Linked DNA regions of Lepisosteus oculatus. The protein of the gene in region 2 interacts with the protein of the main gene of each other region in a pairwise test. Links are inferred from orthologs where the notes say so. Each region holds a gene or a part of one and is shown on either strand. Other genes may lie near its edges.

What was found.
Region 1: the proteins of kifc3 (region 2) and bysl interact in binary tests that used the Homo sapiens proteins (3 or more experiments, as listed by UniProt). The link is inferred for Lepisosteus oculatus from reciprocal best matches to the Homo sapiens genes KIFC3 and BYSL.
Region 3: the proteins of kifc3 (region 2) and mfap1 interact in binary tests that used the Homo sapiens proteins (3 or more experiments, as listed by UniProt). The two-hybrid records come from large-scale screens. The link is inferred for Lepisosteus oculatus from reciprocal best matches to the Homo sapiens genes KIFC3 and MFAP1.

What each region holds. Positions count from the first base shown.
Region 1 is NC_090700.1:40,788,134-40,798,147, forward strand, and holds bysl (bystin), read left to right. Parts: upstream 1-5,483; 5' UTR 5,484-5,635; coding exon 5,636-5,912; intron 5,913-6,549; coding exon 6,550-6,712; intron 6,713-7,220; coding exon 7,221-7,359; intron 7,360-7,469; coding exon 7,470-7,603; intron 7,604-8,127; coding exon 8,128-8,288; intron 8,289-8,378; coding exon 8,379-8,481; intron 8,482-8,771; coding exon 8,772-9,123; 3' UTR 9,124-9,914; downstream 9,915-10,014. Other genes in the region: med20 (mediator of RNA polymerase II transcription subunit 20), read right to left, coding at 2,664-2,888, 2,990-3,243, 3,517-3,665, 5,210-5,223. UniProt on the Homo sapiens protein: Required for processing of 20S pre-rRNA precursor and biogenesis of 40S ribosomal subunits. May be required for trophinin-dependent regulation of cell adhesion during implantation of human embryos.
Region 2 is NC_090715.1:4,617,704-4,627,552, forward strand, and holds the start of kifc3 (kinesin-like protein KIFC3), read right to left. Parts: upstream 4,174-9,849; 5' UTR 2,202-4,173; coding exon 1,971-2,201; intron 1-1,970. UniProt on the Homo sapiens protein: Minus-end microtubule-dependent motor protein. Involved in apically targeted transport. Required for zonula adherens maintenance.
Region 3 is NC_090700.1:49,400,351-49,410,543, reverse strand, and holds the start of mfap1 (microfibrillar-associated protein 1), read right to left. Parts: upstream 4,532-10,193; 5' UTR 4,416-4,531; coding exon 4,334-4,415; intron 3,541-4,333; coding exon 3,324-3,540; intron 2,676-3,323; coding exon 2,543-2,675; intron 2,200-2,542; coding exon 2,012-2,199; intron 1,508-2,011; coding exon 1,238-1,507; intron 988-1,237; coding exon 828-987; intron 579-827; coding exon 489-578; intron 1-488. Other genes in the region: hddc3 (guanosine-3',5'-bis(diphosphate) 3'-pyrophosphohydrolase MESH1), read right to left, coding at 7,543-7,673, 8,742-8,982, 9,449-9,504, 9,923-10,034. UniProt on the Homo sapiens protein: Involved in pre-mRNA splicing as a component of the spliceosome.

The DNA.
Region 1 (10,014 bases), on a different chromosome or scaffold from region 2:
AACCAGAAAGCCCTTAAAAAGCCGATTCACAGATGGCCGTACGTGAGACTACTCGATTTCTTCCGTAAGAAGGAAGGAAGTTACGACGAATACGTAGGCATGCGGCTGGGAATCCTCGGCTTCTCTACGGGGATTTATATTCCCAAACACTTACGCAATGCGCTGACTTCTTTACTAGCGCTGGTGGGTTTATATCGAGACGTACGCACCTTGCGCAGCTCTCCTCAGTAAGTTCGGTTGGACGGAAAGGGTAGTAAGTAAGGTATTCACGCACAGACAAAGAGAATTTATAAAGGCATAAACGTTTCGTTTTTTTATTATTATTATTCCTTACAGAGTTGTTTTGATGCTCATCTTGCTACAAACCCCAAGGCCCGGGTGTGAAAATAAAGCCAGTGCCGAAGACGTTAATAAAAGATTAGGACCGAATTAAAATATATGTAAATTAAAATACCATTGCTTGGGCATAATAGAAGTGGTCAAAATAGCTGGTTTTCGCTTTTCAAAGACGCAGCCTTAATTTAACTATAATTTCCGACATTATTCTAACGCCGATTATATTGAAGGGAAGAAAACACTTTTTGGCGTCACTATGTCTCGCATTTCAACAAGTTGCGGCTCCTTGCTAGGAGCCGGAGCCGGGTACAACCTGGCCCGGTGGGTATTTCCTTCAACAGTTCCCACCCGGCTGCGCGTCGTTACACTGATCGCTCGACCGAAACTGAAGGACCTGCTGCATTTTTAGGGGTGTCCTAAAGGATTTCGTTTTCAAATAGACAAATAGACATTCGTTTAGGGCACAGTCTAAATATCCTACGATACATTTTTATATATTTCAGTCATGACGTTGCGCCATAAGGAGTGATGATATTAAAACTTCCAATTTTGTCACGTCAGCTTCACCTGTGTCAGGGGACCTTATATTAAAAATAACCACTTTTCCACTCCGTTGTAAAACGACCGCATTTTTTCCATTTCTAAATAAACACCCAACTAAAAAGCCGGCGGGTCTTATAAGCTCAAAGGAACAAAACCCATACATTCCTTCCTCAGACACGCATTCCGTTGACAGACCGGCACCTTCAAAGATGCAGTTAAGCAACAGGCAATTTTTCCCACATCGTCACCTCCACCGTCCCCACGGCGGCACGCTGGGGAACACGGAGGCAGAACAACGTGCTTCAGGTTCAGCTCATCATTGGGAAATAGTTTTCCCTGGAATCCTGCAGTACTCCTGCAGGAGACTGTAACACGGATTCACTCCACAAAACCTGTTAAGAGGCTAATTCCCAGACTCCGAGACGTCCGGATCAGAGCCACACCTGCCAGGCCTAGCCAGTGCACGAAAACGGCACACAGATCGCCTCACTGCCTGTAACTGGGAGCTGCTACCCTGCGCTGCCCTGCCCTGCTGTGCACAGCGACATTTTCATTTCTCCCTGCAGCACTGCTTCTCGCTAAGACTCTCCAGGAGTCTCGCCTTGGTGATAACTGCAGAGTTCAAAGTCCTGTTGGTGATGTCGAGAGGAAAACGCTTCCTTGGGAGCAAAGCTTTACTTATGCAGCAGACACCATGTGGATCACAAGAAGCAGGAGGTATCTGCATGACTCCTGCGCCCTTGAAAGCTGGCCTGGTCTCCATTCTCAAACACCCCCCACTCCCAGTTCCACAGAAGGAAGCACCGTTTATACCCTGACCACCTCTTCCGCACACCTGGCTGCTTCTGTTCAAACACAGCAGAACTCGCATGAGTAGTGAAGAAACACAGGGGGTCCTTACAGTTGTGACGTACCTTGAGAGCTCGTCTTTACTCATTTTTGTTTAGCACGTTGCGCTCCCTACAGCTGTATCTTGAGGAGGGGACGCAGTTTATCCACTGCAGAAGTGTGGCATCAGTCACCCGAGTGACACGCAGCAGATAGGGTGAATTACCGAGAAGAATTTGCTTCACCAGTAGGATTACAGAAAATGTTATGGAAGCTAGACTGTACATATTCCTAGTGGATTATAGTCATGACAGCAGGGTTAGCACCTGTCCTTTTGTAAACAGTGCCCCGAGGTCTTCTAATGACCAAGTAGACAGGACTTCAATGTTTTAATGTCTGATCCAAAGGAAGTCACCTCCTACAGCACAGCATCCCTCGTTACCTTGTTACTATACAGAGGCACAGGTTTGGAAATTCTGGCCTCCTCAGGGCCACTGCCTCCCATCCCAGAACTGACCAGACCCAGCCCAGCGTACAGGGTGATTAGCACTGCTGTCACATTAGTATTAATGCAGAAGTACTAGGAACCAAAACACCTGAAACCTGAAAACTGACCAAGTTTTTACTTAACTTGAAGAAGGAGGATCACATTATAAGAATCATTTTCCTTGCAAAGGAAACACTTGAAAAGTTTTTGCGGCCGCCTGGAACAAGTTCTAGCAGAGCGCGCAAACACCTTTAACCTTCAGTATTTGTCAACAGCACACTGGGATGATCCCCTTGCTATGAGCTGGAACAGGAGGAATGTTTCTCCAGGCGCCAGGAGCTTTCCAGCAGGCTGCTGTGCCTCTCGCGCAGGAAGTCCAGTGTCCCACTCGGACCCGCGCACACACAAGCACAGCTGGCTCAGGCTCGTGCAGGGATGGGAACCTGTTCTGGAACTCGGGGGCCTCCTCTCAGCGCATGCTGCTCCCGATTGCCACCTGCTGCTTGCGCACCTTGCCGAAGAGCTCCAGGTACTGCGCCATGGTGTCCGAGCAGTCGGAGGGGCTGTAGATGCCGTCGGGTTTGGCAGTGAAGACCATGGGCAGTTCGGGGGTGTGGGGTCCCAGGAATCCCTGCATGAACTCCTTCATCAGATTCCAGCAGTCGTTGGGCACCCCACATGGGCAGTACTCCACCTGCACACACGGGCACACGCAATGTTAGCAGCCTTTCAGCTCCTCACTCCTGCCCCCTTCCCACCTCTACTTCTCCCACTGGGTGCTTTCCTGCTCCTCACCTCCACAGAGATCCCTCTGGCGCTGGAGCCCATGGTGATGGTGCCAACCTTGACCAGGAAGTCGCAGTACTGGAAGCGCGTGCCACGGCTCTCCACCTTGTTACCCTTGGCGTTCTGGAAGTGGCCCTTCAGCTTGATCATCAGCACGTCGAAGTTGGGGTCGGCCACCAGGCAGGGCCCGCCCTCGAAGAGAGCGAAGCAGCTCAAAGGCATCTCCGAGTTGTGCATTACGTACAGGAACTTGGTGGGCTGCCCTGGGGTGAGAGAGGGAGAATGTACAGGCCAGCAGGGCGTTCATCTTTGTACCATCTCAGCCTGGGTCTCTAACACAAACATTTTACTTCTGCATCAAGCCTCTGTGCGCTAGGGGTATTATCTATCTGCATCTTTCCCCCTTTCCTTATTAGCTTTTTTAATACCCTCTGTCTCAAGCTCTCAGTGCTATTTTGTGTTGGACAACTCTCTCCACAACACTCTACCTCTCTCTTTATCCAGAGTAACCACGCTCCCTCGCTCAGCGCTCTCACCTGTAGTGCCCATGGCCCCCGCATGGTAGGTCTCACAGTCCACGCAGAAACTGCCCTGTTTCACTGCTCCCAGCTGCTCCAGCTTCCTGTGCAGCATCTCCACTGTCTGCTGGACACTCTTCCCCTCCACCACCGGCACCTGGCACACACTGCCAGAGCACAGGGTTACTGCTAACACTCCACACACACACACACACTGCCAGAGCACAGGGTTACTGCTAACACTCCACACACACACACACTGCCAGAGCACAGGGTTACTGCTAACACTCCGCGCACACACACACACTGCCAGAGCACAGGGTTACTGCTAACACTCCGCGCACACACACACACTGCCAGAGCACAGGGTTACTGCTAACACTCCGCGCACACACACACACTGCCAGAGCACAGGGTTACTGCTAACACTCCGCGCACACACACACACACTGCCAGAGCACAGGGTTACTGCTAACACTCCGCACACACACACACACTGCCAGAGCACAGGGTTACTGCTAACACTCCCCACACACACACTGCCAGAGCACAGGGTTACTGCTAACACTCCGCACACACACACTGCCAGAGCACAGGGTTACTGCTAACACTCCCCACACACACACTGCCAGAGCACAGGGTTACTGCTAACACTCCCCACACACACACTGCCAGAGCACAGGGTTACTGCTAACACTCCCCACACACACACACACTGCCAGAGCACAGGGTTACTGCTAACACTCCCCACACACACACACACTGCCTGAGCACAGGGTTACTGCTAACACTCCACACACACACACACTGCCAGAGCACAGGGTTACTGCTAACACTCCACACACACACACTGCCAGAGCACAGGGTTACAGCTAACACTCCACACACACACACTGATTTCAACTAATAACCTTCCTAACTGAACAAATTATGAGTTTAACTGGTATTTTTAACACACTGCCGGACTGTGTCAAGTCAAGACTGGAGTTGAGTTCTTATAAAGCAGATAGTTTAAAAACAAAAAAGCAAAGCATCATATATCAATTAGATCGTTTAAATTATATATTTTTTAAATGCATAAAAGTTTTAAATAAATTGTTCTAGGAACCGAGCAAAACTATAGTGCTATTTTAAGAGTTGGTTCAAAAGTGTCATCTTGTGACACAACTGTGCATAAAGCTTTTTAAACATACTGCTAAATTGGAAAATGCAATCGGTTCTGGAATAACCTGCATTAGCCAGGCTGCAGTTACATAATTCAAAACAGCTCCTTTCTCCAAACCACCTTCTTCTCCTCCTGCAGCATCATCATACTGTAATTGTAACGATATACCGCCGGACCAGAGACTCCGCTAATATAGCACACCCTGTCCCTGCACGTAAACAAAGCACGCTGCCTCCTTTCAAACTGCAGACCATTTCGTTTCAAATGGCTTCTAAAGTCCGCAAACTCACAACTGTTGCTGTCGGCGCAGCCCCACCAGGGCCGCGGTTAACCAGTTTAAAAACGTCTGTTATCGTATTATTTAATATTTATGGTGAGGCTCTGGACCCGAGGAACCCAGCTGTGACTATGTTGTTGTACACGTAGGTATGAAACTCGCATTGCTCCAACACCATGTCCAGCCGTGTAAAACAATACGCTCCGGATCGCCATTGTCAATGAAATGACGTTTCTGCTGCAATAAAAGATTCAAATAACTAATCTTACCACGTTACACCCATGTTCGCCTCTGACAGAACAAGACTCCTCTAACTTCACGTTACTTCAGACACGAGCTTCCTGTTATCAGGAAGAGGAAGTGACGCCACGATCGGAGGTTGACAATAACAAATTAGTACAGCTAATTTATATTCATATTATTCTTATCGTGAAATTAAATGATCATTTTCAAGACTTCCTATAAAGACGTTTTTAAAAGTTGTCTTCAATTTTATTTTTTGTGCTTCGAGTGTCGCCATGATTGTGCGGGGTGGAGGGGCGGTGACATCATTTCCGGTGAGTGGCAAAGGGTCACGCGTGCTTGCTGAGTGGTCTTTCTCCACATGTGCGGGCAGAGTTTTAAGTCTGTTTTACAGGTTTCGGCACACAAGACAAACAGAACTCTGACAGCAGAGCGAATCGGCGCCTACGGAGATGCCGAAAGTGAAGAAGACGAAAGGCGGAGGGAGAGCGGAGCACAGCCGAGTCGCGATGGTTCCTCTGGCCGAGCAGATCCTGCAGAGCGATGAGGTGAAGAGCAGCGGCCGGGTGAAGAGCCGTGGCCGCCGGCAGGAGGCTGAGGACGAGTACGTGGACGAGCGGCTGTCCCGGAAGATCCTGGAGCAGGCTCGGATACAGCAGGAGGAGCTGGAGGCGGAGTGCGGGCTCGGGAAGACTGCGGAGAGTAAAAAGCAGCCCACGACCGTGCTGGGTGAGTGTTTAGCGAGGGTGACAGAACGCGTGCCGCTTGTCACGGGCTGGTCCTGCGTCCGGCACGGGTGCGACCTATCTCGGCTGTGCGTGCCGCGTTGTTTGTAAGGAGAGTGACATGAGTGAGGCGTCCTGTTCGTGAACTGTTCGTACAAAAGAGGTGGAAATCAGATACCGCTTCTCTCTGCTGTGCTTCAGCTGCTTGGTCACACACGGCCTCCGGCGCGACCCCTAGCGAGAGGCCACAATCCCATCACCCACCTGGCCAGGTTTTCATGAAGCCAGCCGTAATGCTGGCACTTTGAGAGCAAGTAGCAAACATTGAATCCTCCTTTGGTGTCTAGTGTCCTGAGAGTTATGGGCAGGGGGGTTGTCACCGTCTCAAACTGTATCGCTGTAGAGTGTTGCGATTTGATTCAGAACCAACAGTGAAAACTACTGGGAAGAGTTCTTAAAAACTGAGACCAGGAGGTACTTCTATACACAGAGGGTGGTGGAGGTCTGAAACAAGTGGCCCAGCCATGTTGTTGGAGTTCATTCCCTGGGCCATTTCTGGAAAGATCTGGGTGAAATGATGGGATCAGCTAGCTCCCAACAGCCCTGATGGGGTTTTCTGACCTGTTCCTGTTGCCCTGCAGGCTCTGGCTCCAGGGACTCGGACTCGGAGGAGGAGGAATGGCCGGCGCTGGGGCAGGGGGGAGATGGAGAGGACGGGGAGGGGGCGGCAGGGGCAGAGGTGGAGGTGGACCCGGAGGATGAGAAGGCCATCCAGATGTTCATGAGCAAGAACCCGCCGCTCAGGTACTGACCCGGACCGACCTACCTCACAGAGCCGGGCTCTGGCAATGCAACAGCAAACCTGCTAGAATTCCAGCAGCGCAGCCCAGAGTTTACTCAGTGTTTCTCAACCACAATCCACAAATCGTGTGCAGTGCTCTCTTCCACACGTACGGAACTTTGCTGGAAAAGCTGCCTTGAATATCTGTTTACGTCTAGAAATCCTTGAGATGGGACCATCTTTTCTCTGGCAATGAAAAGACCCCACATCAGTTCCAGCAGCAGAGTCCCTGTGTGTCCAGTAATAGTCAATGTTCAGGAGCGGTCCAGGAGTCCAGACTGTTGAGGCACTCGGGAGTTCTGGGGTCTGTCTGCCAGGGTTTGATGTGGCCAACAGCAGACAAGTGACTGTCTCCTTAAGCCCTGCGTTGTTCCAGCCTGGAATGTCCTGCCCCCGTGTGCGGAGTGCGTGGTTGCTATCCTCCGGCCTCAGTGTGTCAGGCTGCGTTCACGACTGTGCCTCTTCCCCCAGGAGGACTCTGGCGGACATCATCATGGAGAAGATCACAGAGAAGCAGACGGAGGTGGAGACGGTGATGTCGGAGGTGTCGGGGCACCCCATGCCCCAGCTGGACCCCCGAGTCATTGAGGTGTACAAGGGGGTGAAGGAGGTGAGCGTCCTGTGCTGGGCCACGGTGTGGGCGGGGACACCCTCTCTCTCAGTCTGTGTGCTGCCATTCCCTGTCTCTCCCTCACTGTCCTTTCTGACGCACTCTCCCAGGTTCTGTCCAAGTACCGCAGCGGAAAGCTGCCCAAGGCCTTCAAGATCGTGCCTGCTCTGTCCAACTGGGAGCAGGTGCTGTACATCACAGAGCCGGAGACCTGGACGGCGGCAGCGATGTACCAGGCCACACGGTGAGATCAACACTCCCCTCACAGCTCCCGAAACACTTGGCCGGCAGACCGCACTGCTGTTCTTTTGGTTTGTAGCGCTGACACTGTGCAAACGGACAGAGGAGAGGCTTTCCTGTCGTCTCTGTAAAGTGGTTCTCTTTTTTAACCAAGAAAACATTCTCTCATAAACCACTTCAGCCCCAAACTCTTTCCGTGTTCGTAGGGCTATGCGTCCAAGAACATGAGAGCACCCATTGCGCAGGATTCTGATCCACTTATAGTTTTACAAACTGCAGGCTTTTATTCAACTGGTAGCGGCTTTTGAATTTGTGATGGGAATTCATATGTGCCTCAATATGCACAGAAGAGCGTGTAAAGCTAATTGCTACTGTTATGCTTAATCGGTACAATGTATACAGTACAACCTGGTTAAACTCAACCAGGTCAAGCGACAGCTGTCGGATGTGTCCTGTGTGAATTATTGTCCGTGTGCAGGTGTCCCTTTTCTACGCCTCATTTTTCTTTCTCCCTGTTGCCACCTGCAGGATCTTCTCCTCCAATCTGAAGGAGAGGATGGCTCAACGCTTCTATAACCTTGTCCTGCTGCCGCGGATTCGAGATGACATCGCGGAGTATAAACGGCTCAACTTCCACCTGTACAGCGCGCTGAAGAAGGCGCTTTTCAAGCCTGGGGCCTGGTTCAAGGGTGAGAGTCTAAGGCTTTATAATGGCCGTCCCTGGCAGTGCAGGAGATGAGCCACATCGCTAACGTCTCTCCCCCCTCTTTCTCGCTCAGGAATCCTGATCCCCCTGTGCGAGTCGGGGACCTGCACGCTGAGAGAGGCCATCATCATCGGCAGCATCATCACCAAGTGCTCCATCCCTGTCCTGCACTCCAGGTACACAAGCAGGAGGGAGGGCCGGCAATATTATTTCGTTATTTGGCAGGCACTTTTATCTAGCGCAACCTCCAGAAGTTACTATTGCAGCACCTTTTTTTTTCCCCCATGTACACATGTTGGTGTCCATTTCTGGAGGTGTGTTGTTTTACTCTGGGGTAAACAGCAGAGGCCCCACCTGGGATTCAAACCCACAGCCCTTTGGGCAGGGGCTCAGAGGTCCCCTTCATGCTGCAGAGGTTCGGGCAAGTTCAGCACACTGAATGGTCCCTGTCTTTCCCCTCCTCCAGCGCGGCCATGCTGAAGCTGGCGGAGATGGAGTACACCGGCGCCAACAGCATCTTCCTGCGCCTGCTCCTGGACAAGAAGTACGCGCTGCCCTTCCGCGTGCTGGACGCGCTGGTCTTCCACTTCCTGCGCTTCCGCAGCGACCGCCGCGCGCTGCCTGTCCTGTGGCACCAGAGCCTGCTGACGCTGGCGCAGCGCTACAAGGAGGACCTGTCGTCCGAGCAGAAGGGGGCGCTCCTGGAGCTGCTCAGGGTGCACTGCCACCCCCAGATCTCCGCCGAGGTGCGCCGGGAGCTGCAGCACTCGAAGTCCCGCGACGAGGAGACCGCCGCCCCCGCCATGGCCCTGGACTAGACGCCCTCCGGCCCCGGCCCCCCGCCTTCCTGCCTCATCATGTTCTAGAGAAATTGCGTCGCTTCCCTGTTCCAGGCCAAACGGCAGAACGTCGTGCTTCCTCTTGATTTCAACAAAACGCAATGGCGCCTTTCTTCTCTTCTTTCCTGGAGCAGAAGCAAATGTTTCCCTGTGGGGGGAATGGGCCGGCTCAGTCCTGCCCTGGGCTCAGCTCGACTGTGCGACTCGGGATGCGGATTTCGCATGGGATTGGCGGGGTCTGGGGAATGTGAAGGGGACGAGGCTTCTGACTGGGAGAGGAGGTCCCGTCTTCACAGCTGGAGGCACCCTTCTCTGATAAAGACACCGTCACGAAGGGAGTCACCCCGCCTGCCAGCAAGCAAGCGTTCAAGTAGTTGTCAGAGAGTGCTGTGGCATGTTGTGCAAGCTCAGTGCGTGCTGCTCTTACTGAGGAAAAAAGCTGTGAGTTGTGTAGAGCCAGTTAGCAGAGCTGGGAGGGCAAGGGGTGTTTAGGGCCCGAGGCTGCTGCTGTGTGGAGCTGTCAGCTTTCTAAAACTGGCCATAGACATTCCCAAAAAGCCGTCTAGACTCGCGAAGAAGCCCAAGTGGAAAACTGAAATTGAAAAGACAGCAACTGCAGAACCACACTGTTTGTTTACTGAACTTCTCACCCACCAGAGCGGGCATACTCTGACTCTGACTCACAGGCTGCTGGGTGAGTTTCTGCCAATCAGAACAAACAATGAGGAGGTTTAATGTAAACTTGCAGCATTAAAAGTACTTGGTTGGTATTTGTGTGCATTGTTTTGAGTTCACGGATGTAATCCAACCTGACTCAGGAACTGAACTCAAAAGGTTGAGGATCTTCATGAGGGGTTTTCACTGTGTATA
Region 2 (9,849 bases):
ACTGCCATTAGTTCAGTCCCAAGGGACTCCTCCTGCTGTAAGCAAGAGACCTGCTGTATAATACATTATCAGACCTCAGGTCTCTAATCCTCTATTATTGCCTGCTATTTGTGACACCTCTGGGAGTCGCTTGTTAAATTCCAGGCATGAAAATTCACAATCCTAACAAAAACCTACATCTACCAGAAGCAGCCTGTACATGTTGGGGTCACACCAGACAGAGTTCTGTTTAATAGTCCCCCTCCTCTTTCCATAAGAGAAGATAATGCAAATTATTTCTCACTGCATAAGTTTTTGTTAAGATCAGCAAGACCGGAGACTTTTTATTCCAAGGAGTGTCCCAATGAAGGAAAAGCTCATGCCGGTGCAGGCGCAGGGTGACCAGTGGAATGCAGCAATGGAATTAGGTATATTCTGACTTCATGGGCCAGGTGTTAGAAGAGGATGCTCCCCAGCAAGGAGCAATCCTGCTCTTAACAACTGACATCCTCATGTATTCTGACTGATGTCAGATGGAGCGTCACTGGGCTGATGGACGGAACAGAATCTCAACACAGGCTAGTTGCAGGAAGGAGCAAGACAGGCGTGCTTCAATAGGGCCAGTTCCTGTCGTTCAGGTGTAACGGAAACAAAACCAAACCCCACATGAATTATTGAGCCACAGTGGTAATCTGCCTTTTAAATTCTGGAGCATTATCATGAAGGCAGTGTAACATGGCACTGAAAGGCTTGGGCTTCTCAATCATCCTCCCTGTCCGAAAGCCATTAAGAAAATACAATGTGACTGTCCTAAGTCAGACAGCATCACACCCAGAAATCCAGAAAAACACACAAACTCGGCAAACTCAGTGGTGCACAATGCACAAACACCACAATATCCTAAAATGCATTGTTCTGTACTTGGATATCACTTAGGGAACAACAACAACTGCCCATCTACGTATTACATAACCAATACAGGGTCGTGAGGGAGCTGGAGCCTTTCCCAGCAAGCAGGGGCACAAGACGGGGTGCACCCTGGACAGGATGTCTGTCGCAAGGGGGAATAACAACAGCAACAGAAAAAGTATTGATCTGTTCGGACGATACTTTCTGTAGTGCTGTGCTCAACAGTACAAAGGCACAGAGTTACACTTGGAACTTGAACCTGCAACAACCTCATTTTGAGTATTTGAGAATTTTGCCTATTGCGAGACTGCCCCTTAGCCCACAGTCAACCCCCAACTTTCCCTTGGTGAATTTACAAGCTGTATTTGCATATCAGCATCTGAAAAGGATTCGAGCTCAATTTAGCTGGCAAAGGCTGAAACAAACCCTAAACAAATCCTCAAAGGCAAAAAAAGCTCATGCACTTGCAGATGATTGCAAACAGTAGAGCTGCAGACTCCCACTCTGACAGCACCAGCACTAACGTTTAAGAATTATGCACGGAGATTCTTGCTTGCTCCTGGACACTACACCCAGATATGTCAGGGTGTGAAGTTACTGTCTGCAATTCAGATTTTACACTCATTAAGTTAATTTTCCTTCAAGGGTAGAATAAACAGGCCTCCTGTACTTTTTAAAAAACAAGGGTTTTGTTTTTTAGCCCATTCTACAGTACCTGCCCAGAAACAAAACAACAACAACATTTAATTAAAAAATGACTTCGCTTGCAAATAATCCCTTAAATGAATCCTGCATAAAACAGATGGAGCACTGTGCACCTTTCATTTCTTTCTCCATAAATAGGAATTTCCGTGTCGAGTAGTTTATTTACTTAGACGCTGAAACAAATGAGTATACAAAAACAATCTACAAGTAATTTGTGACGCTATAAAACATGTTTGACCAATAAAGGGAAATGCACAAAAACAGAGAGATGGAAGAGGTAACCAATACCCCCCAAAAGACAGAGAAAGGAAAATGAATATTGTACAGTCTGCACAGTAGCCAGGTTATTCTGTGCTGTAAGCAAGATGGATTCTCACCTGTGCCCAGGTACTGTAGCAGCAGCCAGGCATGTTGCTCAAAGTGGTTCTGTTACTCTTGGTGCACAGGCTCTGGGCTTCATATCCTGGGCTGTGGTTGTCCGTGCAGCAGTCTCTGGGCGAGTTTCTCTCCCTGTCGGAATGCTTCACTTTCTCCACTTCTGAGCCTCTTTTTCGCCCCTTGAACAGGCTGTGCAAAGACAGCACCACCAGAGTGCACAGGACATACATTGCACCCCTAAAAAGAGACAGGGCAGATTGCCTGCTCCGATATCACAGTTACTGGATACTACTGGGGAGGGAAGCAGGCAGAAAGCTCTTAGGTCACCAAATCCGAAAGGCAAGGCTGTTGTCAGGACGGTGTCCGCAGTGAAAGGGTGCAGGTCCCAACGCAGCAGCCAAGAAAACCCAGAACTGGTCTGGAGCTCAGTCCAGAGTTTTGCTCCCTATACCCAGTATCTTACATGAGAGGAGTTCACAGCTTCAGAAATTCTTCCAGGCTGATCAATCCAAATGCTTTTTTCTTTTTCAAAGGCTCACAATAATTTAAGAGTGTCTTCAAGCAAACTGTTTCTTCCAGATTTTGAGATCAACAGTCATCGTCTCCGATATATCTGTGATCTTCGGTCTCTGAACTATGGAAAATTATACCCTCCTCCTGATTTGCATGTTTTACTCAAAGGCTAATCAGTAAGCTCTCCAACCCCAGCAGTATAAACAAATTAGCAGGAAGTAATCTAATGAAAGTGTTTTCAACAAATGCACCCATATCACACCCATGGGCGATACTGTGTTTGCCAAGATACAATTCTTCATTTGGGAATTTGCTTACAGTGAAGTCCAGAGATTGAATCTGAAGTCTTCCGAGCGTGGTCCCAATAAAGAACATGCAGGTACCAATGACTTTCCTCGCAAAAATCTGTCCAGTCAACCAGTTCGGAGGTGTTTAGCCCAGTGAACGATGTTCACGTTTCAAGAAGTCATGGAAGCAGAAGACAGATTTTCTTAAGCACCACCATGTTGATTTTTACCATCACAGACTTCTTGGTCTCATTTCTTCACCATGGATCCACCAAATACAATAAGGATCTGGCTGCACAGCCAGCGCAAGTTACCCAACAAGTCCCTGTGGATTCACTCACAGCTCTGAGATTCAGCACCAGCAGGAAACCAAGAAGGTCCAGAAGGGAGTTTGGACGGCTCCCCGTGTTCCTGTTACCCAAGTGTGTTGTAGGGCCACTGATACAGGATGGCGACAGCTTGCATTCCCAAGAAGGAGAAGTATTTTTATGGTGAAAGAATTGGGACCCTTCCTAGGTGTAAAGCATTAAGCAAATTGCAAGAAATGATATATTCAGCAAAACACTCCAGATTCAAACAGGAGCTCCAATCCTGTCTCCTAATGGCCCTGTGTTTCCACTGATCCAGTGTTCAACAGCTGCCAGCATCGATCCAGCCCTGGAGAAAAGCCATGAGTCTGTCCAGAGTCCCGACTCCCTGGGCGCCACTCCTAAGCCCATATCGCTTCAGCTTGTTAAGGTCAGGGCACTCGTAACTCCAGGCTTTCGATTCAACACGTAAACACAATCATAAAGAAGGTATTCCACTGATAAGATGTGTGCACGGCAACACACACCCAGAAGAAAAAAATGTTTCTCAGATTGAACCTGCTGCTGGTATCACCATAATCACTGATGTCTGAGGCAGAAATAACACACCTGAAGTCGTGTTATTTCCAGCTGCGATGGCTCATGAAAAAAGGCAAGATAAACGTCAAGAAAAAATGTGCTCGAAAAAATGTGCTCTTTGAAAACTTGAAAAAAAATATTCCCCACGCTTTTGTACCTCCCTGTTGTTTTTTCTCGGTATGTTATTCAGCTGATAAGTTTTTTTGTTTTGCACCCTGTTGCCTTTTCTAAACCGGCCCGGGAAATGTTTCTCCGACCGGTTTGTCCACTTGTCCTGCCTCACAAAATACTTGAAAATGTTGTGACGACAGAGAGCCGTTTCTTTGCTCACTTGCTCATCAGAAAGCCTCAGTTCATTCTCTATCTGCTGCCCGAGGGTGTCACCAAGGCAAATATCATCTCACTCTGCATTCGAATCCCCAACAGTCCTTCCCTCTAAGTCCTTTGTCCATCTGCTGCAGGGATAAGCGCAGGCATGGGGCAGTGGACACTGATGTCACATTTATTTGCATTTGCAAAAAAATCTGCTGTGGCTTCCCTTGTCTCAAATTCAGACATTGAAGACAGGGATCAGGCTTCTGATTGGTTGCCGCCTGGAGAATGACCTCATTCATTGTGTGAGCAGACATTGTGTGTGTGACCCTGCATGGGAAACTTACACTCTTGTGCTTTGAGAACTGTAGTGGCTGTTAATTTAGCACAAAAATATTTTGTTACAGTTTAGACATTTATGGGTCTTTCCAGGATTTGCATAAAAACGGTTATATCTCCCGTTAAACTGTAAAATGGAATTACAGCAACTGAAAATGTCTAACTAAAAGTTAGTCAACAACAGAACATTTGACTTTTTCTTTAATTTTGTAACATGTCTAGGGTACTAATGGTTATGTCTCAGCCACAGAAATGGATAGAGGGTGCAAATGGCCTTACATTTTCAGACCAGAACGCTATTGATAACTATCTTTGCTCATGACCCAGCTAACTTTTTAACATACTATCCTGCAGTTTAGAGTACAGCAGGGTAGATTTGAGGACCAAGGAAATGTAAAATGTATATTAATATAAAAAGGTCTGAGAAGATAAACAAAGGTTTGTGAACCAAACAAGATTTCCAAGTGGATTTTCAAGTCTGAACCATCAGCTGCCCATGTTCAAATCAATCAAAATCCATGCAGTAAAATCGATTTTCCACTACCCACATAAATCCTCCGTAACGAGTTCAGACACATCCTGGACGGGATGTACTAAGAAGATGAAAGCACTGTAGCTAAGCAGCTTACCTGCTACACAATGGACTCTGTAACAATCTTACAAGCTGCAAGAGGATTTTTGTAGCTTTCTCTAAAAGCTGCCCCCTGCTGTAACGCCTGGTAACTGCACTTTGAAAGCACACAAGAGGCTGAACTAAATGCCACAGATACAAATGTGACTCAATAAAGTAGACTCTCTTACATTCAGGCAGCAGAAGTGCATGACCTTCCCAGTGTAACCTTCCCAGCGGGTAAAGGTTCCAATTCTCTGTCGATGTGCTAAACTACCTCTATTCAACTGCAGAAAAGCTTGCTACGAGAAAATAAGCAAAGGTTTGTGAATCTAACAAGATTTCCATGTGGAAGCGTGTCTCCCTGGCAACCTGAGCCACTTCTTTATATTTACATACCAGCAAGAGGAGCAGATTTTGAAATCACTGCTTTCTTAATCTCTTCCCAAACCCTCCCCTTGCCTCACACACACCCTTCTCTTCCACAGAAGAGCTATTCTGGGCACATTTTGGCATTTAATTGAAGGAAGAAAAAGAAGAAAAATAAACAAATCACAGGCCGTAATTACATCTCCACTCGACGGCGGATTTAAAGTGCTACAGCACAGACCACATCACAGGGCGGACTGGAAGCCCAAATCACAGGGGCTTGTGAACGCTGGAGACCAGGGCTCATCGCTGGGCGCACAGGCACACAGGCGCTGACTCGCATGTGGCACAGGCCCAGGAGAGAAGACCACGGTTTGTCTTAAAGGGGTGCGGGAGACTCAACCGCTTGCTGCCACTGCAGACCTGACTGCACTTCTCCAGGGCTCCCAACTTCATGAGGGAGGATTCTGTAAGAGCAGGTCTGATCTTGTAAGATACGGCCACACACTAATTGAGAGCAGAAGACAGTGTAAACTACTGCTTTAAATCCTCAAGCATGCCTCTGCTCTTCCCTTCAGGGGAGCTTTATAATTAACAGCTTTCTATTATAGAAACGGAGAACTAGGGAAAATGATGCTTATGTCACACACACTCACACAGACAATATTACGTAATTGCAGACATAAAGCCGTAGCTTAGCTAATTACAACACTTCACAGGAAACCCACAGCTATGACTTAATGTACCAAATAGGCAATTCGTGTTGTTTTCATTACACTTATTTTTTTATAGTTTGACACAGCAAAGCAGAAATGGAAAACAGGCTCAAATGAACTACAAAATGCCACTAACGGCAGTAACTGTTATATTTCAAAGCCTCTTTTGTTTTATAATGTACTGTATGCCGCCCAATTTAAGTATGATCCGCTCGCTTTGTGAATTGCAGCTGTACAACAGGCTGTTGTGCATACAAGAGCAGCAGATCATTCACAAAAATGGATTTTACTTTGTTTCAAGGTTTGTGTTTTTATTAATATTATATCGTAGCAACAAATGCAGTTGGAGCAAGCCGTCTGAGGAATGTAATGTTGTATTGTATTTACAGGGTTGCTAGGAAGTCAGAATAGTAGCAACATCGCCACCTGCTGGTTATCTCCGAGTGCGACGCGACCTCAATAACGTTCTATTTTTAGTCAACGGACCTCACCACCGGCCTCAATTATCCAAGACTTTTCAAAGAGCGACGCGGTTTATAGCAATTTAGAAGGTCATACTGAACTATTGGTGATTTGGACTCTGAGGGGTTTTCTGTAGCCATAACATCCTGCAAAAATAACCTTGCCTGACGCCACCATGAAATATCCTTGATTAATGGCTGGAGAAAATGATGCATAAAAACCAACTATGCAGACTGGCTTAACCTTCCCTGCATCTGCAAACATAATGAGCACAGCACAGCACAGACTGCTGCTTACAAAAACAACCGTATCAGTCAGACTACTATAATGAAGGTAATCGCAAAAACACATTCGTTGAGTACAAATAATGGACTGTTATTAACTCTAGTGTAAAGGGCACTTCAGGGAAATGAGCAACGAACTGCACAGCCATAGAGCTGATACTTAAACTTTGTAAATGCAAACAAGCTGAATGCCAGATGCTTCAAAAACCATCCAAAGGAAGCATCATAAAACTGAAATTGTGTCTTGACGTTAAGATGTGCCTTATTTCCCGTTCTCCGCAGCACGTTGCGGCAAATCGCAGGAAAAGGCCGTTTGTGTGGCTCTTCTTTTCTTAAATACTTCCTCCGGCTAGAGAGTGGGAGGAACACGACCCTCGCACTGCAGGACTGCCGAATGAGCAGCGGAGATCACGTGGAGAGCTCGAGTCCGAACGCCTCGCAGTCACATGGTTCAGCAAGTCAATAGCCGGGATCAAACAGGTCGCTTTGCTTTCTTCCTCACCCTCCCATTCACAAGCACCGACTCTGACAGCATGGGGCGGAGCGCGGGCGGGAACGAGCTCTTCCACCGCTTTAAGAAAATAAGGAATGACTTTGCTGTCCTTTGAGTAACAGATCGAGAAAGAACCACAAAGGACACTTTCCTTGCATTTCTGTGCTGAACGGGAGGCACTTCATTCACTAATGATTCATAAGAAATCATGAAAAAATGGCTGTTTTTGATGTCACTCCTTTTGAGTTTAACCAGTATTTCCATACATTCTTGGCCATTTGGGGAAATAATTAGGTCTCAAAATAAATTAACTTATTTTTACACACATCATGGTTTAGACCCTTATTTACATCTCACGAAGCCTCTGTGCTGTGCCCATTGATGGAGACAGCAGACATTTGAATACAGGGTGTCAGGTCAATCTTCCACATGAATTCTCTATATTGCCTGAATAGTGCATGTATTGTTCAGGTCATTTTTTTGCAGACGAGAATGAGGACACTCAACTTTTTTTTTAAGTTTTGACATTTGCTTATTAGCCCAGACTACAATGCTGAAAACATATTTTGAAAACTATCACCTCCAAACTGCCAGAACATGACTACGTCACACTGTGCACCTGCCCTCACTCCACACTTAGATTGTCACCTCGATTCCTGCCAGTTAAGCTGATCTGACACGCCTGGTCCTCGTTAAATATCTCCCAGTGCTAAGCTTTGTTGAGAGCCATGAGACACTGAAGGCTACAACATCACTTGCACTAATGGCTTCCACAGCGAGCGACTTCATTAACTCTACAGATTTCAAGTGCCGCGACGCAGTTGATGAGATTGTGTTTCTCAAGTCATGGGGCAGTCCACAGACTCCTTTGATCAACTTCTGCTGTGCTTTCAACCCCTTTCTCATCATTTCTTATGATGAAGCTCATGATTTCCCACCAGCTTGTCCACTCAATGATTCAAAAAGTGACAAACGGCTCACAGCTGGGGGGGACACCGCCTGCGTCACAGTGGTGTAGGACAGGGATTGCTGGCTGGGGTACACGTTGTTTGCTGATCTGAGGTAACATGACCTAGTGGTCAACTTCCTGCACCCAAAGGGAGATCCTTTCCTGTTCCAAAACACTGTGATGACATCATTGTGGATTTAGGAGCCGACGTCTGCGTTGCTAACCCCAGCAACAGACAGAACATACAGCCTGAGCTCGGGAGAGGTGAACAAGGCCTCAGAATATGGACACTTACCACTAGATTCTTCAATAGCTTCTACCCACAAGCAGTGCGACTGGCGAACACATTTGACCACACCTACACCATCTACCTCATTATAATTTCTTATTTATTGCACATCTGCAGTCATTGTTCACACGTCTGCATTGTTTACATTCTAACTGTTTACTTGTACATTGTCTATTGTTTGTTTGTATATTGTCTTGATGCACTGTCTGCACTTTGTGTTTTTACACTTTTTAAACAATCGAGAGACTTTCTGTCAGTAAGAATTCCATTGTACCGGTACATGTACTGGTTATATATGGCAATAAAGTTCAAGTTCAAGTCCTGGAGCAGTGGCCTCCAAGCTTTAAACACCAGCGCAGGTTAAAGAGTGAAGCTGTCAGTCACATGAAGAGGTGCTGGAGCGCAGGGTGTCAGGTCAGGGGTATCTTGTACCTCCAGCAATAATGACATGACCTTGAGACGTAAATAAGGGTCTGAACTGCAATGAATGTCAAAATGAAAAAAAAATGTTTTGAGATAATTGAGGACATGGGTGAAACGTGGCCTAATTTTCATCATGAAAGCTTACCTAAATTATAAAACATGGACATCCTTATTTAAACGCTTTAAAACAATATTAAAATGATCTTTCTGTGTGATGAAGATGTCTTATTTGGGGGAGGGAGGGTTACCTATGTCTCCTGAATGGTTGGCCACTCAGGTTCAGGTCCAGAAATCACAGTCTGACCATGTCCGCCATGGGGAAAAAAATTTCTGGATGTTGTTTGTTAAAATCAAAAGGAGTGAACTCAGCAGGTGATCGATTTCATATTGAAGGATGCTGTCATCCTACTTACACGTTGTCAAAGCTAACACGCTGACTTCTTTCAACACAATTATTCACACAGCTGGATAGGACCCTTAGATAAAGTAGTGGCTCCCAGCCAAATGAATTACAGTAAATGGACCAGATAGCTGTTTTTCATTTGGAACCTTTGTTTAAGCTTCTTCTGGAAAAGTCTATCCTGCATACATCTCTCTCTTTCACCAACAACTCGGTTTTATCCTTTGCTTCTTACCTTAAGGAAACTAAAACTCCAGCTACGCCCTGCACCTTCCACAACATCTGGAAATTCTCAATTTCATGTAGGCAGAAGGAGGGATGAACCCCCCCCATTCTCAGGCACAGCTGGATGACCCTAAAGATCTCCTTTCACCTGAGTGGCAACTGTGCGTGACGCAAGGAGGGATTTATCGGCACTTCAAAAAATGACGGGGATCATTTTTTATACGTCAGAAACATATTCCACAGCCTTACTAAAAAAAAAAAAGCCGAGGATTCTTGTTAAACTTTCAAAAGGAACCACTGAACAGCTTCCAGGGCAACAG
Region 3 (10,193 bases), on a different chromosome or scaffold from region 2:
TATTTAAGAATTAAGGTGATGGGCTGTTATGCATATTCATTACTTTTTCTTAGGAAAAAAAAATCAACATTTTACAAACACTTAACATTGTATACCTAGTACCTGAAATTTCTAATGTAACTGCTTAAAAACCCTCATCTGTAGCTCCTAATAAATTCTATTACAGAATGTCTTATCAGAAAAACAAACGTATATGTAAAATATACCTTGATTGAAGCAGTACAAAATGTTCATTTTAAACTGGTACCTGTTCTCCAGGTATACCTAATATCCCTCCCTTTCTCCATGTCGCAATTAATGATAATATTCTAATACTTGACTATTTCCAAATCATGCATAATAATGAAGATGTACTAACTATGCAATAATTTTCAAAACAGAAATGGTGGTAAACACAAAAATCCAGAGAATGTTAGTTAGCATTTGATCTTCAGCTGAACCCAGAAATGAATAAATTCAGCAATACGAGTAGACTCCAGCCAGCTCACCTGCATGACTTTGGGCAAGATGGTCTTGTTGAAATGGTCCTCCAGGGTAGGGGCGCTGAAGTCCCTCTTATATACATCTTGCTCCTCATCCTAAACAGTCAGATTCACAATTAGGAATTCCAGTGCCACAGAAAATTGCACAGAGGTAAGAGCAAAATCACCACAAATATAATGGAACTACTTTGAGTCAATCTGATGGTTTTGTTTCTGATTTTCAATTCAATAGAATAATTTCTCCCATATCAAGCTCCCAGTTGTTTTTGCCTATCACTTTAAGAATGTACTGCAACAACCCCAGTCTATCACTCATCATGGCCACCAAACAAAGAGAAGACTCACCATGAAGAAGGCTCCTCTGTGGTAGTACTTCTGCAGGAATTTATATTTGCCTTTAGATGCTTTGTTGGTGATGAGTTTGCCGTTGGAGCGAAGCTCTGCCCTGCGCTCCTCTTCGGTGAGATTGTGGAACCTTTCAATCTCCGACTTCTCCTTCTCCATCCTGGGAACACAACACCCAGTGAGACACACCCCACCATGGCAAACCGGTCTTCACAGATCACGAATTACTAGCCAAGCTGAATCCACAGTCAGCATTATTCTTTTTTGATTAAAACATATGCCCACTGCTGATTGAATTCACGCTGCCCTTCAGGGAACCCAAACTGCAGACGTCTGTAATTTGCCGATCAGGTACGGTACTTCTCATACCAGAGTGCGTACGGACCTGGGTGGTGCCCCCCCAAACTTACGCTTCGCGGGCCTCACGGTCCCGTTTGATGCGTTTGAGCTCGCGGACTTTCCAGGCCTCGTACTCCTCCTCCTCATTCTCCCCATCCGTGTCGAGGGCTTCCAGTGCGGCCAGGGTGCGCCGGTTCTCCTCAAACTCCTTCTTGGCTTCCTCCTCCACAATCTTCAGCGTGTAGCGCCGACGCTCCTCCGCCTGCTTCTTGGCCTCGGCCTCCAGCTCCTTCTGCTTCTGCTCCTCGGCCTCCCGCTCCGCCACCGTCACGCGGTCCTTCCTGCAAGAGCCAGCAGAGCTCCATCATGAGGGCCTGCTTCCGCAGTCCACTCTGGCAGTGTACGCATTCACAGTGACCTGCTCACTGCTTCTTACACTGGCAAAGCCCCAGTAAAGACACTGCTGAGCAGCCCTGCAGGTCCTCAGTAAAACGAACGTTTAGCTTCGAGGGGAGACTGCTGTAACAGCATATTTCTTCCCAGCACAGACTTCACATTATTCTGTTCCAATTCTGAACTTTAGAATTGGAATACAGTAATATGTGGATCAGAAAGCTTCTCAGACTCTGAAACACGTTTAACACACTCCACGTGTTCTTACAGCAAAGAACGAAAAGAAACTGAAATAATGTTCCTGCCAAACGTACCAGTTCTTTACTTGTCTGCAGTCAGATGCTTACTAAACTTTTTGATAAATTATTAGAACAATAACGGTCTGCGTCACTGAAAGAGCAAAACCTTCCGATCTTGTATTAGGACCCTCCGCCCAAAATGGCACTACCCACTTGCGAATGAAGACGGGTTTGAGGCGTGGTTCGGTTTCGTCCTCGCTGTCAGTATACTCTTCATACTCCGACTCGGACTCCGACTCCTCTCCCGACTTCCCCTCCTCTTCCACCTCCATCAGCTCCATTTCCTCGTTCTTTCGCTCCTGCGCCCGCTGACGCATCATGGCACGCCGCCTCTCGATTTCCTACACACAAACACCGGGGGGAGAGGGGCTCACAGGGGACTCTTCTTTACCATCAGACAGCATCTTAACAGAGCACTAGCAATGAAAAGATTTGAGAACAGCAGGAAATAATCTTCTCACGTGTCAGGAAAACATCAAAACATTACAACACGAGAAGTCACACAAGGGAATACCATCTGACCCATCTTGGCTTGTTAGTAGCTAACTGATAAAATTTCAACAAACCACTTCTTGAATAATCCCAGGACAGTCAATTTATAAGCAAACTACTGTCCCAGGAAAGACACCGATCTGCACTTTCATACTAGAATCCAGTTATTACACCCAATTCCTCTGCGTTTACCTCATCGTCAACCTCCTCCTCCTCTTCCTCTTCACTGCTCTCCTCTTGGTCTGGATGCCAGCCCCCCTCATCCGACTCCTCGCTACTCTCCACCACCAGCTCCGGCTCTGCGATCTGCCTGTGTCGCGCCAACCTGAGGAAAAGCAGGGTCTGTGTCAGGGATAGGGCAATCAGACCTCACAGCAAAAGAATCAAAACGACATGACCCACAAATAATGTTATTAGTCCCACTGCCAGGCCGCTTTCCATTTTGACCATCACGACAATCAAAGTGTTATTTGGAATGACAGATCAACTATATAAAAATGACAGCTATACTGCATGCAGTTACATCCACTTAAAAACACAAAGAAGTTGCAATACAAAATTTACTGAAAAATAAAATAAATGAACTTCTGTTTGTTCACAATTTCCATTTTTAACTGATAATGTCACAATGGTGCAGTGATTAGCATTGTGTGCTATCTGATGGAGTTTGTATGTCCCCCCAGTGTTCATGTGGGTTAACCCTGGGTGCTCCGAGTTCCTCCCTCAGTTCAAAAGCACACCGGTAGGTTAACTGGACCTGGTGCGAGTGTGTACGCGTCTATGCCTCTCTGCCCCTGCCATGGACTGGCGTCAAGCCCAGGGTGTACCCTGCCTCGTGCCATTGTTTGCCCGGATGGGCTCCTGCTCCCCCATGACCCTGAACTGGAGGGAGCGGTTAGAAAATGGATGGATGTCACCAAGTCAAGCCACTTGGGGATGTTCTCAGCGGATGAACACTCCCCCCCCAGGGTACCTCTCCTCCACGTCCTCAGTGACGCGGTTCAGCAGCCGCCTCAGGCGGGGGTCCGACACATCCTCCTCCTCCAGCTCCACCTCCGGCTCCACCTCCTTGCCCTTCTTCATGAACTGGAAATCCTCCTCCTCTTCGTCCGAGGACTCCATGGGGGCATAGTCCGGGCGCTTTCCCGACACATAGCGCTTCACCTTCACCTTCTCCATAGAGATCTCACCTGCAGCAAGACACAGCAACCCCATTACCTCCCTCCTCCGCATGAACACATGCACACACAGCGCTGCCCAAGAGAGGGGCTGGGGAGAGTCCCTCACTCCCTGCTTCTCTCTGGCTCCCCCAGACAGCGCACCTCTGGAAGACTGCAATAACACACAAGCGCTACATGGAACTCCCTTAATAGTCACAGAAATCTGGAAACGATGACGACTGGTGTTTTTTATTACCCTTTGCGTTTCTTGCGATCAGACCTGTTTGAATAATCAACACTAGGGCTAAAGAGTTTCATTATAACCCAAAACAATTATGATCTGTATCTATAGAACACACATAAACGTAGCATTTTAATTTCTTAAATGGATTCATACACTTCGCAAATCAACACAAAAATACCAACATTTCTCTATTCAGTAGTATTATCAAATACCATATATGTATCGAAAATATTGGGTCTACGTTTTCATTAGCTTATATGTGTATTTGTATCGAGTGTAAACAAATAATCTCCCGCTTTGTTATTAATTATTGACTTTAACTTTATATCATATATTTATTAATACCGATACAAGTATTTATCCAGTATTTCATCATGTCTTACAATATAAAATTAACTTAAATGTATAATTATTTAACATTTACTTCAACTAATATTTTCGTGCACTTTCACAGACAACCTGTAGGAAAGTCAATCATTTTGGACACATTCCTCTCGGTATTCTAACTTTCAAACCGAAAACAAGGGCCCGATGATCACCAGTCCTCGCTTTATGCGGAGCCTCAGTCCAACAACTCACCTTTCTCATTGCGCACCGGCACGGCTCCGGCCGTGGATTGAATCGGCGGCTGCTTCACGTTGAGAGAATTCGGTGCCGCCATGACTGGACGGTAAAAATGACAAAAACAAATGCAAAAGAAACAAATGTATCTCAGATCAGCTTCACAACACACTCAACAACTATCTCCTTCCTCTCCGTAGCAGAGAAACAGGAAATACGACACCAAGCCGCCGGATGTTGTTACAGTGCTTGGATTCCGAACTGCAACAAAAAACTACAGAGCTTCCTCCTTAATCTTTATTTTGGACCAACATTCATTAACGTAGTGGGCGAATGAAAAAAAACAACAACAAATTAATTCCGTAGGTTTTATAAACAACATGTTATAATCTATAGAAATATTATTTAAAATAGCAATGATTATTTTTATTAAAATATTTACTGGAATAAAATTTGAAAGCACGAAAACCTAGTGTAAATCTACGGTTTGAAGCTGGTTTGTGTTTTAGTATATTTTATAGAAAATAATGTACTGTACGTCAACATTGCATATAAGTTAACACTGCTAAGAAAATGTATCGCTACATTGATTTCTCTATGCCGTGTCCCATCAAAAACATCTTTCTTTACATTTGAACTAAAAAGACGAGAACATGAATGGAGGATATTTTCAAAAGTAGAATAACGTGAGTTTAGTTTTGGAGTTTCAATTTTTATCATTTTGTGCCGATTCTTATTCGAGAATTATTCACCTCAGATTCCTCGCCTTCTTCTCTCACACACAACACACAACCACCTTCCGGAAGAAATAGGATCATGCAGTAAAAGAGTCGTTGTTTTGTCACATTACTTTATTTTATTCAAGAACTTAATTTACATTAGAAAAACAAAATTACAGGAATGCTATTACATCTGGGAGTATTAGTAGTAGAGCACTGTAACTGCCATTTTATTATAAAAGTAGTTGTTTCTGGGTTTTTTTTTTCATTCTCGTGTTTTCAGACTGGGAGGAAAAAGTGAACATATAGTATATTGTAGAAAATTGTTGCAAGAAGATTCTGTCTTCTATGGGGTTAACACTGAAGTTCACAGAGGTCGGTCAGCTGCGTTCTTCCACTTGCGACAGAAACAAGGCCAAAGTCATTAGAGGAAATGAGACTCCTCTGTTCTCGGGCAGTGCTTTTTCTCACTTGTCTCATGCGCAACTGGAAATTCACATGTAGGGAAGAGATGATGAGAACACAGACCGCGTCAAAAACTGAGACACCATATAATGTGTACCAGAACCAAGGTCCAGGAAATCCTGCAACAAGACCAAGACCATTAAGCAATCACCCACCATCAGAATATTGCTTTTTTCTGGTGTCATAGTTGACTATCCAGGAAATATAGGGGGCAGGGCAGGACTACACTCTGAACAGGACACTTGTTCATTGCTAGGTACACATACAGTACACACAGAAAGAATTAGTAGACACCAATAAACACAGTCATCATTACATTGGAAAGTATATGAAAACTGCATTTCACATCTATAAATCCCATCAAGAGTCTTAAAAGATTTGCATGCAATGATGATGTGCAACATGTGTTTGCTGAAAACTAGATATTGCTATATAAACCATGCAGAGGCAAACCATAAGTTTCCATAACAGAATAATGATTTGTCACTAATTCATTGTTGCATTAAGCATTTGCTTGTAAAAGTGGAAGATCTCTAGAGCCCTACTACACACACTACAGATTTCCAGGTTAAGAAGTTCCAGGTTGAGTTAGAATTTCTTACTTACGTAATCCCAAGATTTCAATGTAAAACTCATTGTCATATTCAAGGTAACCTAAAAATAAAAAAAATAGTAAAACTTAGTTTAAGTTGCATTTCTTTTAGATAATAAAAGATATGATTAGCAATAGTTTCATATTTCTTTAAATTACTTCTCCTGTCTTTTTATGGTTTCATAGCTACCATTAGACAATAAAAGCAAAACAAACCTTTGCAGATGAGACTATCCACCAATCTGGTATTTTTACATACCACAGACTGCTTTTCCCCATCGTGTTTTAGGAGTTATATTAAAATTAATAATTGTTTTCACATTGTACTCACTTCTCAGGAATATATTACTAGTCTTGCCCTGTTTTACCTTTGACTCCAACAGTGAACACAGCAAGCCAATACAGCATGAGAACCTTCATGTTTCTGTCTCCGTTCCTGCAGTATGCAGATCTGTAGCTTCCTGTTTGTGCTGGCAAACTTGTAGTTTCAGTTGGAAACTGTTGTGAACACGTTTTAAGAAACAAAACACACCCCAACACCTACAGGGTGGGATGATTCTGCAGAGACAGGAAGCTGACATGACTGAGGCAAATATTTGGTTTCTATTTGTTCCCTCAGTGGCATAGGCTTACTATAATACCACTAAGCCTATTTAAAGTTTTAAATGTTTCATGAGATTGTGAACCTCAAGTAGTGTGGGGTCTTATGGTGTTCAAAACAATGGTTATCTTTATGACACTGTAGCTGTCTCTCTCACAGTGCTCAACATTTGAACATAAATCAGGGTAGTTTCACACATACACTTTTCAGTTTGCATTGCTCTACAGAAAGCAAACGTTCTTTCAAATGTTCTACAGTAACAGTAAATAAAAGCTTTCTGTAACTATGAAATGAGCACAGTATTTACTGTAGTTGCTTCCTATTTGTTGTGTTGCTTTCTCATAAGGAAACAGAATGGTTAATTTAGCATGAGTGGTTTATATATTGAGGTTTGGAGATCTTGTCTCTGTCTCTAACCTGACCACAAATGGCTGCAGATCTTCTAATAACAATGATGTATTACAACCACTGTCTTTGACAAAGAAGTTGCAGATGAACATTTTATTATGTGTATTCTGAAGCAGAGAATACATAATATTGGTTCTACGATAATTATGTTGTAACTATATTATTAGACAAACTGAATAAGTGTGCACCTTGTACATGTGGAATTACTGCATGCATAACCTATAGTCTGTTAAAACAAAACGATTATAAAAAGACCGGGACAGAATACAATCATTCGTCTTTAATAATACAGAAACAACCAAAAGACAACGCGAGCTGTAAGTGCCGAGGCCAGTGCTATCTAGGGCAGAGCCAGTTCTGCTCCCGTCAGGTGAGTAAGGAGCCCCGCACCGGAGAAGAGGTAGTGTAGAGATTGTGGACGGGGTGTCTCTGCCGATGGGAGTCAGGACTCGATGCCTCTCTCCCTGAAGAGCTGCTGCAGCTTGTCCTCCAGTGCTATGTTAGTGCCCCGCAGACGCTTCACCACCTCGGCTGCCCACAGGAAATACTCCTGCACCCGCTCTGCTGTCCAGCCTGAAACAACGCAAGGTCGGAGTCATCGGCTCCACGCCCAGCAGATCACACACATCAGGACGTTCGAGTCTGCTCACTCTGAAAGGGGTTGACCACATTGTAGTGGAAAGTATTAAATTACCCTATGCACGCACATAAGGAAGTTCAAGTTATACTGAAAGGGCAATAACAGGGAATAGCTATCTTGCGGTAAAGTAAAAGGGGAACATGCACAAAGAAGGTATGCAAATATTTACAAGACCAGGATGTCTCCGAGTTCCTGTTGCGAAACATATACTCGAGCCATAATGTTTTTTTTTAAAACCCTACAAACGATCTTACACGTTCAGTCGCAGTCACACAAATGTCAGGCTACAACACAACAAAAACGTATTTTTGTTGTGGCCCAAAGCTATCATTTCTTATTGTGACAAAATCTGAAACACTGCATAATGGCTCACATCACAAAAAAAGTGATCTATAAAAATGTATATGTACAGCTGTGAAGGAGATCGTATTTTCAAATAATAATAATAATTGCTCACACTTATATAGGGCTTTTCTGGACACTCCACTCAAAGCGCTTTACAGGTAATGGGGACTCCCCTCCACCACCACCAGTGTGCAGCATCCACCTGGATGATGCGACGGCAGCCATAGTGCGCCAGAACGCTCACCACACACCAGCTCTCAGTGGGGAGCAGAGTAATGAAGCCAATTCATAGAGGGGGATTGTTAGGAGGCCATGATTGATAAAGGCCGATGGGAAATTTGGCCAGGACGCCGGGGTTACACCCCTACTCTTTTCGAGAAACGCCCTGGGATTTTTAATGACCACAGAGAGTCAGGACCTCGGTTTTACGTCTCATCCGAAGGACGACGCCTGTTTACAGTATAGTGTCCCCGTCGCTATACTGGGGCATTAGGACCCACATGGACCGCAGGGTGAGCGCCCCCTGCTGGCCCCACTAACACCTCTTCCAGCAGCAACCTTAGGTTTTCCCAGGAGGTCTCCCATCCAGGTACTGACCAGGCTCACACCTGCTGAGCTCCCTGAGCCTCTCTGTGGCTGCCCTGTAGGTGACTCACCAGTGGGAGTGCAGCGGTTCAAGTCCCTCAGGTTGTACAGTTTGTCAGCCAGTTTGACCAGCTTGGCCTGGTGGCTGCAGTGGGGGGCGTGCTCCACCTGCAGCCGTTTCCTCTCCTGTTTGGGAAGGGACCTGTCGTCGGTCACCTCCTGGACGATCCGCGCCACTGTCGTCCCAAACATGGCCTCCAGCTCCAGCAGGGTGGTGTCAGTGTCCTCCACTGTGTCATGGAGCAGTGCAGCCTGCAGGGGGGCACAACAACGTGCTCACTGACAGCTGACCACACATTTGAACTCCTCCAGTGCTGGAGGTGATACAATCCTAACAAGATGTAAATTTAATCAACGGATTCAAGGTAATAAATTAGGCAGTGTTACAGACAAATCAATATACTTCTCATTTACTTAACCATTTCATACCTGCAGAAACACAGCAAATCCATTCCTAGAACATCTGTTAATGCAAAAATGAACACTGCAACTGATGTAGTGCACACTATTCGGGTTACACAAGAAAATATCTTTTCACATTGTTTATTCTAATAAGATTGCAAGTAAACTACACATGCATACCCAAATGTGTCACTCATTTGGTACAGATTACAGCAGTGAGAGCAGCCCGACATGTACCTAAGGATACTTCCATAGGTACTTGCATGTTTGTTACTGGGGGGGTATGTTGTGCACACAAGAATCAAATTGCTTTTACCTGTAAAACTGCAATGTCCGTAACTCCACCTTCCTGACTTAAAATTCTAGCCACCCCTAGAATGGAAAAAAAAAATCTTAAAGTCCAAGGATATAGGATTCCTTTTTTTAAAGGAAGCAACAGGAGAGAACAATCACACTAGTATTACAAATCTTTTATAAAAGTGATTCATTCTTAAAGAGCATCTCCCGACTGTTAACACATTCTCTTGATAAGAATTATAAAATGATCAAAATTATATGCAACGTTTTTACATCAACAATTGAAAATCACCATGTGACGAACAGCTTGCTTGTTTCGACTATTTTCTTCTGAGAAAAGTTTGCAAAGGGAAAAGGTTAATAATCAACACACAAATGATACTGTACGTCATGTGTGCCACTGTTATACATCAGAAATATCTATTCAACTGCAAATATGCAAATATTTTCAACAAAGAAATGCAGTGCAATCCTTCCGCACGGCGGGCCGTACCGATGGGGTGGTTGATGTAAGGGGTGCCTTCTGGGTCTTTGCGCCGCTGGTACTTGTGTTTCTCTGCGGCGAAGTTCACGGTTTCCAATAGCAACGCTGAATCCGAACTCATATTTGATCTAACTTCAGCGCGATACAGGTTAAAAAAAAAAAGATTCACTTTTCTCTCCTCTGAAAATGACGCCTCCCTGTGGTAGAAAACTTGAAACGCTGCTCTTTTATCTCCTTCGACATAGAGCTTTTGATCAACTAATGAACGCAAAACGAAAAC